Linked DNA regions of Tribolium castaneum. The protein of the gene in region 1 binds, or shares a complex with, the protein of each later gene. Links are inferred from orthologs where the notes say so. Each region holds a gene or a part of one and is shown on either strand. Other genes may lie near its edges.

Region 1 (4,421 bases):
AAAATTTACTCAACAAAACTAGAAGAGATTCGGCATTTTCGTTGTACAGCTTCGTGTACGTGTTTCGAGTGAACAATCTGTGTAAGGTGGTTGGTTGTTGTTTTGTGAAGCTGTACAATGGAAATAGCCTCAAACATGAAATTTTGCAGTAGAATGGGGGGGTTTGTGGGGTCCGAAAGCGTTAGTCCTAGCTTGGATGAAAATTAATCCCAATACTGACATGACATCCTGATTCTGCGACTTTTATTTCCAAATAAGGAACGAATTATTTTCAAAATAATTCGTTCCTTATGAATGAAATAAAACATTTTTAATAAACAAATCAGTAACCATTCACTCATTAATTCAACGTCACTTTCTTTCGCATAGATAGCAATTTGCATTAAACACGCTGCCATCGTTTTTTATAACATTTTAAAAAAAATAAGAATTAAATAAAAAAAAATTACACGAGCATGAAAATTACATAACATAACGTGTATTTAATCACAAAGTAGGGATATCAACACCTTTCCCTATATGTGTGATGCTGTTTATGTCCCTGTGGAGAGATAATTATTATGAAATTTTCTAATTTTATAATCGTTCCACTTTTCAATAATTACTCCAACTCTTATTATTGCATCTTATATTTTATTTTAGGATGTTTGATAATTACTATCCGTTTACAATTCTGGAGTTAAAAATTCACTTGCGTGTACAAAATAGTGTTTCTAAGAAAAAAAGTCTTCTAATTGTTATCAAACAAAATATTGGTACATGAGGGTCACTGGAATGAATCCTCTGTTAAAATCTAAATTGCAACAAATAATTTCAGTTTTAACAAGGTCATCATTTTGTCTCATTTTTACATTAGTTTTGTTCAAAATTTCAATTGGGAGTGCATAATTTTTGAATAATTTTGTACAAAAAAATCTATGTTTACTGTATGAAAGACGCTAAATTCGCCATTAATGGTAATGTCACTATAACTGAGAAGAAATGTGTAAAAGTTTAGCCAACATTAAATACTTTTTATTACCTATTGAAACAGCATGTCTTTATGACTACACAGGGTGAAAGTACGAAAGAATTTCTTACTTTGCTGTAGCTGTCAAATCTACATCGCTTAAAAGAGTCTTGAGTTAAGTAAGAGCAAGTTACAATTTTGCAGGAACGTATTTAATTTTTTTTTTAAATCTAAAGTCATTTTTTTAACAATTCCTTAAATTGTATTCATTGCTAAGTAAAATTTTAAAAAACAGTGTCATTAATTCGGGGCCCTTACGTTGGTTTCCTGGGGGAAACTGGGCTTTATTTTCAAGAATCCAATACTGTACTGTTTTGAGTGTGTCTTAAGTTGTCTACCTACAACACAACGAAATTATTATGGTAGATAGTTTGTAAACTTGTTGGACGTTGTTTGTTTTGATGGTCACATGATAATAAACAGTACACCAAGTACTGGCTTGAAAACATAATTTGTCCTAGAATGAAAATTTGTTTAATTTTTTGTTTTTTTTTTAATGTACGCTCAGTAGATGTCGATAAGGGGTTATAGGTGTTAGCAAGCATCTTAAGACTGGGAGTTAGCAGACCCTCCCATTCGACTGTTGTTTTGAGTGTACACCGACTTACTGGAGCTCCTGGCCGGGCCCCGACAATCTGTGGTGCACTGAGCACGACACGTGCCGGTTGTCCTTTCTGCTGCTGAGCGGGAACGCCAGGCCGTACATTGACAACCTGGAGGTTGGAAAGGATGTTTGGGGACTGTGTACTGGGACTACCTACGTTGTTAGCTGGCGGGACCGAGGTGGTCACGTTCATGGGCACGGTGACGAGTCCGGGGGCCGAGGCGCCGCACGTCTTGATGACCAGCGTGGGCTGCTTGCCGGGGGCGGCCTGGGGCAGCGTCCCATTGGGCGGCAGCGCGACCCTCGCGTTGGGCAGCAGCGTCCCGGCGCCCGCCATGGCCTGCGAGTAGACGATCTTGACGGGGGCGGCGTCGGCCGACTTGGCGTCCGAGATGGAGTCGCCGTTGGCCACTGTCGAGTGCTTGGGGGGCCCGACGGTGCCGCCGTTGGATATTGCACTGTTCACGTGGTTCTGGGCCGCGGACGCGGGCGCCGTCGTCGACGACGTCACCAGCTGGTTCTCCAACGAGCCCACGATTGCACTCACGGCCGATTCGTCCACATCCGTACTCAGTGCTTCCTCGAGAAACTTAGCTGACGCCATTTTCCGAGACCCAACTGTAAACTGATGTGCGCATGCGCCCTACATAAACATGATCACGCCAACGGCTGCGCCGTCGACTCTTCACGCCACAAATGCAGAAAGGCATATGAAACAAAAGTCCGAATCGACGCACTTTTAACCACTTTACATGGCCCTCATCTTCGGCTGCTCCGAGTTGTTGCACGGTTTCGTCGGGGGCGGATTTCACGGCGACATCAGACACAGCTTTTCAGTTTCGTTTACATCGCGGAGTCGATCGCACTCTCGACGTTTTGCTAAGTCATCTGACACGTCATCCCGACCCGCCAAATTTGAATTTTCGCATTGCATTTCACATTTCCAAATCCACAAATTTACATTTCTTTAGAAAGTTTCTGCGCCAATTTACATTTAACAAGATGACATTTTGCGACGACCGCTGATAGCCCCGATTCCTTCCACGCAGCTCGCAGCTTACGTATTACGTCATGGGGACAACACTCATTTCTCATCTTAAATTCTCATTTTACCTCGAATTCTGGCACGAGGCACAACGCAACTTTCTTTACTTCATAGCTCATTTGCTGTTTTTTGTTGCTTGAGCAATATTTCTTAAGAGATTGTTTATTGCTAAATCTCATGACCTACAACAACCTTGCAACACCATACTGCTGTTTTATCATCACAAAACAAAACACTCTGGTCAGATTCCCGCTGTTTTTTTCAAATTTTGAACAAAATTACCAATAAAAAACTTATATTAATAATATAAGTATATTTTCTTATACGATAGGTATGGCCTATTTAATATTAAGAACAGATTTATTGATAAAAAATAGGTATTCGATTTATAAACACGTTCTACTCCTACTATAATTTCCATTTTGTTTGGTACTTTTTTTTTATCATCTCCCTTATCCTCCTTTTGCATCAAATCTTTTTAATTATAGGTGGTATTTAGAACTGTAACGCAAATTTTTAATAAAAATCTAGCACTTCTAGATAACAGCAGGTAATAGTACCCCTATCAATTTGATTTCAGGAGGCTTGTGTGGTTGATAATGTGTAGGCAAGGGGTTATTTAATCGATTCCGGTGTAAACTATAATGGCCTGCAATCAATAAATTAAACGTAGGTACAATTGAGTACAAAGCGGTTCATTCGGCAACTGTTGGAAGAAAAAAAAATTCACATATTACAAATAAAACAATAAAATTCTTAGGACTTAAACGATTTTATTTACAGGTACTAAAACATGACATCGGTAGTAAAAAATAAAAAAGCATACAGAACGTAAAAATTGATCAAAATTAACCACTTGAGGAGAGATGCCACTCTTCGGTATTAAAACTGACACATTATTTTAGCAATAGCCCTGTTATAATTTATAAAGCTTGCATAAATGTTACAACAGGTGGAACAGGTCATTTACCGTATCTAACATGTGTTGTTTGATTAATAACTTTTGTAGTGCTTCAAGGTATACAAAGAAACGGTCGATTTCCTATTCCCAAAGGCAACATATCCACTATTTGGCGAGAAATTGATCGCATTTACGTGTCCCAACTTGGTCTCGAACGTCGGGAAGTTGCTAAAAACAGTCCCAGACCCGACATGGAGCAATTTGACGGAATTCGGTATTTCGGCAGACGACAATGCCAAAATCTCCGATGTAGCGTTGAATTTCAAGTCGGTCACGCTCGTAGTCAAATTCATAATGGTCTTTATAGGTTTAGGTACTTTATTAATTAAAATATCCCCCACGTCGTACAAATTAACAACTCCTTGTGCAGAACCAGCCGCCAGAAATTGATTAGTGGGCGAAACCGCCAAAGTGGTGCCTTGCAGACAGCCCTCGTCCATAAACTTGTGCAAGACCCGTCTCATGCTCACGTCCCACACAGTGACTTCGCCACAGTCACTGTGCCCATAGAGAAGATTACCTTGGGGGCCGTAGGCCAGAGCCGTAACTTCATGGTTTTGCTTTATTGTTGCGACTCGTTCCTTTGAGGCTGCGCTAAGCAAGTGGATTTCGCCCCACTTGCCTGCAGCTGCGATTATGTCAAAATCGGGGAAAGTGATGAATTTTTTGAAGCTGGTCATGCCAGGGGGTAACGGGATTCTGGTGGTTTTGGCCGCCATTAGGTCGTAACTGAAGATGTGGTTCTGCCGTGACCCCAAAATCACCTCGTTACCGTTGTTGATAAACTTTGCACAAAAAATCG
Region 2 (3,413 bases), on another chromosome or scaffold:
ATCATGCACAAAGTTCCTCGCGGCAAATGGTACTGTTCCAAATGCATATCGAAAAAGCCTCAGAAGAAGACGATGCGTAAAAACCACGCAAAGTCTAGCAAAGATAGCGAACTGTCCGACCATCCTCCTTCTAGGTACCTCTCAATTTTTCGTTTTTTATTTATTAACATGTCGCGTCTCCAGTCCCGCACCGTCTCATAGTTCCGTTACGACGAACGAAGAAGCAACGAATTGCAACCAAAGCGACGTCTCTAACTCGAGTCTCGGCAACGCAGGCTCTCCGTCCACGCAAACGTGCAAGAAGGACCGCATCTCGAAGAAACTACTCAAAGAACTCGCGCCGTGCAAGACGATTCTGGAGGATTTGGAGTGCCATGATGACGCGTGGCCCTTTTTGCTTCCGGTGAATACGAAGCAGTTTCCCACTTACAAAAAAATCATCAAAACGCCGATGGATTTGTCGACGATCAAGAAGAAACTGTACGATGTGAGGTTGGTGTTTTGACTTGAAAATTGATGGTGTGAGTTATTTGGGCGTTTTTCTAGTTATAAATCCAAAGAGGAGTTCGTTCTGGACGTGAGACAGATTTTCAACAACTGCGAAGTGTTCAACGAGGACGACAGTCCTGTGGGAAAGGCAGGCCACTGCATGCGCCAGTTTTTCGAAGCTCGGTGGAACGAGCTGAGTATTTCAAATAGTTGAGGACTACTTTATCCCAAAAGACCTTACCATCGAAGAATGCGGCCCCCGGAAAACAGTGTTTAAATTGCGATGAGGTGTGAATACAAACTAATTTTTTCAGAAAAACAGTACAGGTATTTCCAGTGTGTGATATTGACTTTAAAAATGTATACTTCAGCTTTTTATCGTTCGGAAATTGTAATTATTTGAATGCAATTAAAGTCTTGGATTTGCGCATCACTTAATGAATTGACTTAAACAAGAATGTGATTTTTAGTTGGTTTCTCAATTTGTATTAATTTGTATTTTTGATAATTGTGTATTTTTTTATTTAATTATTTATTTAGGATAACTATTTTGTTCATTAAATGTTCAGTGGTTTCTATTTATTTATTTTTCTAACTCAATTTCAGTTTCCCGACTTGAAGTCTGGTTCAGTTACAGTGAATAAATTAGAGTAAGAGTTTGTATAAAATGTAAAGAAATTTCTTCACATAATTGCATCGCTCAACATTAAATTAAATGTCTCTCTAGCCTATTACAAAATGTTTTTATGTAAGCTGAACATAGTTCTCAAAGGAAAGGATGTATTAATAAATAATGTGTTTGGTAGGCTAGTTCTCTGCAGCGCTAAACTGCAACTCATAGAACTAGGTTATGTATTTTAATGTAAGATATTTATATTAATTATATTTACTTATAAATGTCGCCTTTTTTCATTTCTCTCCAACCGCTACTACCCTGTTTTCCAACCACACGTTGGAAATTTTTGGAATTCCCGCGTATGGATGTTTAAATTTCGGCTCTTTGGTGATTCGGTCAGAAACACAAGCTTGTCATTTGTCAAACGTTATTATAACCTTAACTTTTCGGAACGTAAATAACAACAAACTTTGCTTTAAACTTTAAAAAATGGAACAAACCACCACCCAGCAAGTAAACGTTTACCGAAAAATGTTAGCAGCGTCAGTCTGCAGCATTCTAATGGAGTCTGGTTTCGATACGGCCGACAAAGAAAGCCTCGGTACTTTAACAGAAATGATCCAGTGCTGTAAGCCCCTCAACCCTTTTTTCGCGAAATAAGCACACTTTCTTGCAGTCCTAACCGAAGTGGGGGCACTTTCGAAAAGCTACTGCGAGTTGTCGGGCCGTTCGGAGCCCGTGGTGGCCGACGTGATTTTAGCATTTGTGGAAATGGGGCACAATTTCAACGACTTGATGGTGTACACAAAAGGCATGAAGCATTCGGTTTTACCCCCACTACAACCACAGCAGCCCCAGAAGCAGCTAAATATGTTACCAGCTGGCTCGAAGCACCCTTTACCCCCTTACATCCCTCAGCATTTACCCCAGTTTCCGGACCCCCACGCCTACGTTCGCACTCCTGTAGGTTTGTGCTGTTGGGGCGCGTCAAATATTTTATTGTTCTATTACAGACACACAAACAACCAATTATTGATTACGAATCAGTGAGAGAAAAAGCGGCAGTTCAGAAAAAAGACATAGAAAAGGCGTTAACGAAGTTTCTTGCCAAGACTAACCCCACACATAATTTGTTTGACACAGATGAGGCGAATATTTTTCCACGTAAGTGGTCCGTTTTTTATTTGGAATTTTTATTTCGTGAGTGGTGGTCAATAGTGCTCTGGAAAAAATTGGTTGCAGAGCACTCTTGACTACGTTTTTGTTTTATACCCACTATAGCAATTGAAATATTTTAGTGATAGCTTGTAAGCCTGCGTACCCCCCTTACTTGAGCGCTCTCCTGCCCCAGGATCAAATTTTTGATCCTGAAGACCTCGAATATGACCACAAAAGTCAAATGATGCAACAATCAAAAGAACAAAAAGCGAAAGAAAAAGCTGAAAATAAAGAAGAAGAAGAGACTGAAGAAACACTAAATGATTCCACAAAAAGTGAAGAAAACACAAACCCAAATGGGTACATTGATAATCCGTATTTGGCCGCAACGAAGCTGCCTAAAAAGGACGAAATGGAGGTGTCATAAGTAAGACTAAATTATAAGTTTAAATTTTTTATTTATACAACATGTAGTTATTTATAAGAATCGGAGTTATAGAAATGAATATAACAAGATTTGAATCAAACACAATTTTGTTGCTTGTTGCAAACAAGAATGGCTGGAACAAAGCCTCCTCTTCCAAACTTGTCATCCATCCGACCACACTTTCATTCCGATTTTGTACTTTGAGCCACAACATCAAGGGCTGGAAGTACTGAAGCATTGCTTCAGCAGACAGGCGATCCGACTGTCCTCTAGTTAACATTTTTATCACTTCTTTCCAATGTCTGGCCTTCCCGACTTTTAGCAAGTCCCTAAAAATATCTAATTAATTTTTATTACAAGTATTGAACAGTCATTACGATAAAACGCGTCCGGCTTCCCTCGACCGGTAAATATCGCAATTATGCAACGGCCCCACATGCCCTGAAGCAAAACACATCGAGCTGTGAATTTGGAATTCGAGCAAAAGCGCGACGTAATATTTCATGTACGGAATATCGGCGGGAATGTGGCGTTTTGCAGCGGCGTCGAAGTGGTTTTCAGTGCGAGGGATTGGGGGGATTAATCCCTGGTAGCGCAGGCGCAATTCCCACCAAACTGCGTTCATGTTTTGCACCCCGTTTTGAAAAATTTCATAACGCCACTGGAACAATTATTTTTTTAATTATTTAACTGTGAAAGGGAAAATTGGCACTTACTGCGTCC

What was found. Proteins that work in one complex are often made in the same cells at the same time.
Region 2: Taf4 (region 1) and transcription initiation factor TFIID subunit 8 share a complex: the UniProt entries of both Homo sapiens proteins name them as parts of the TFIID basal transcription factor complex. The link is inferred for Tribolium castaneum from reciprocal best matches to the Homo sapiens genes TAF4 and TAF8.

Annotation. Positions count from the first base shown.
Region 1 is NC_087394.1:35,639,774-35,644,194, forward strand, and holds the start of Taf4 (transcription initiation factor TFIID subunit 4), read right to left. Parts: upstream 2,869-4,421; 5' UTR 2,218-2,868; coding exon 1,618-2,217; intron 1-1,617. Other genes in the region: wcd (U3 small nucleolar RNA-associated protein 18 homolog), read right to left, coding at 3,652-4,421. UniProt on the Homo sapiens protein: The TFIID basal transcription factor complex plays a major role in the initiation of RNA polymerase II (Pol II)-dependent transcription.
Region 2 is NC_087396.1:13,180,091-13,183,503, forward strand, and holds transcription initiation factor TFIID subunit 8, read left to right. Parts: upstream 1-1,499; 5' UTR 1,500-1,594; coding exon 1,595-1,733; intron 1,734-1,781; coding exon 1,782-2,068; intron 2,069-2,118; coding exon 2,119-2,269; intron 2,270-2,403; coding exon 2,404-2,690; 3' UTR 2,691-2,718; downstream 2,719-3,413. Other genes in the region: tou (bromodomain adjacent to zinc finger domain protein 2B), read left to right, coding at 1-134, 184-492, 547-703; angiotensin-converting enzyme, read right to left, coding at 2,719-3,019, 3,068-3,351, 3,407-3,413. UniProt on the Homo sapiens protein: The TFIID basal transcription factor complex plays a major role in the initiation of RNA polymerase II (Pol II)-dependent transcription.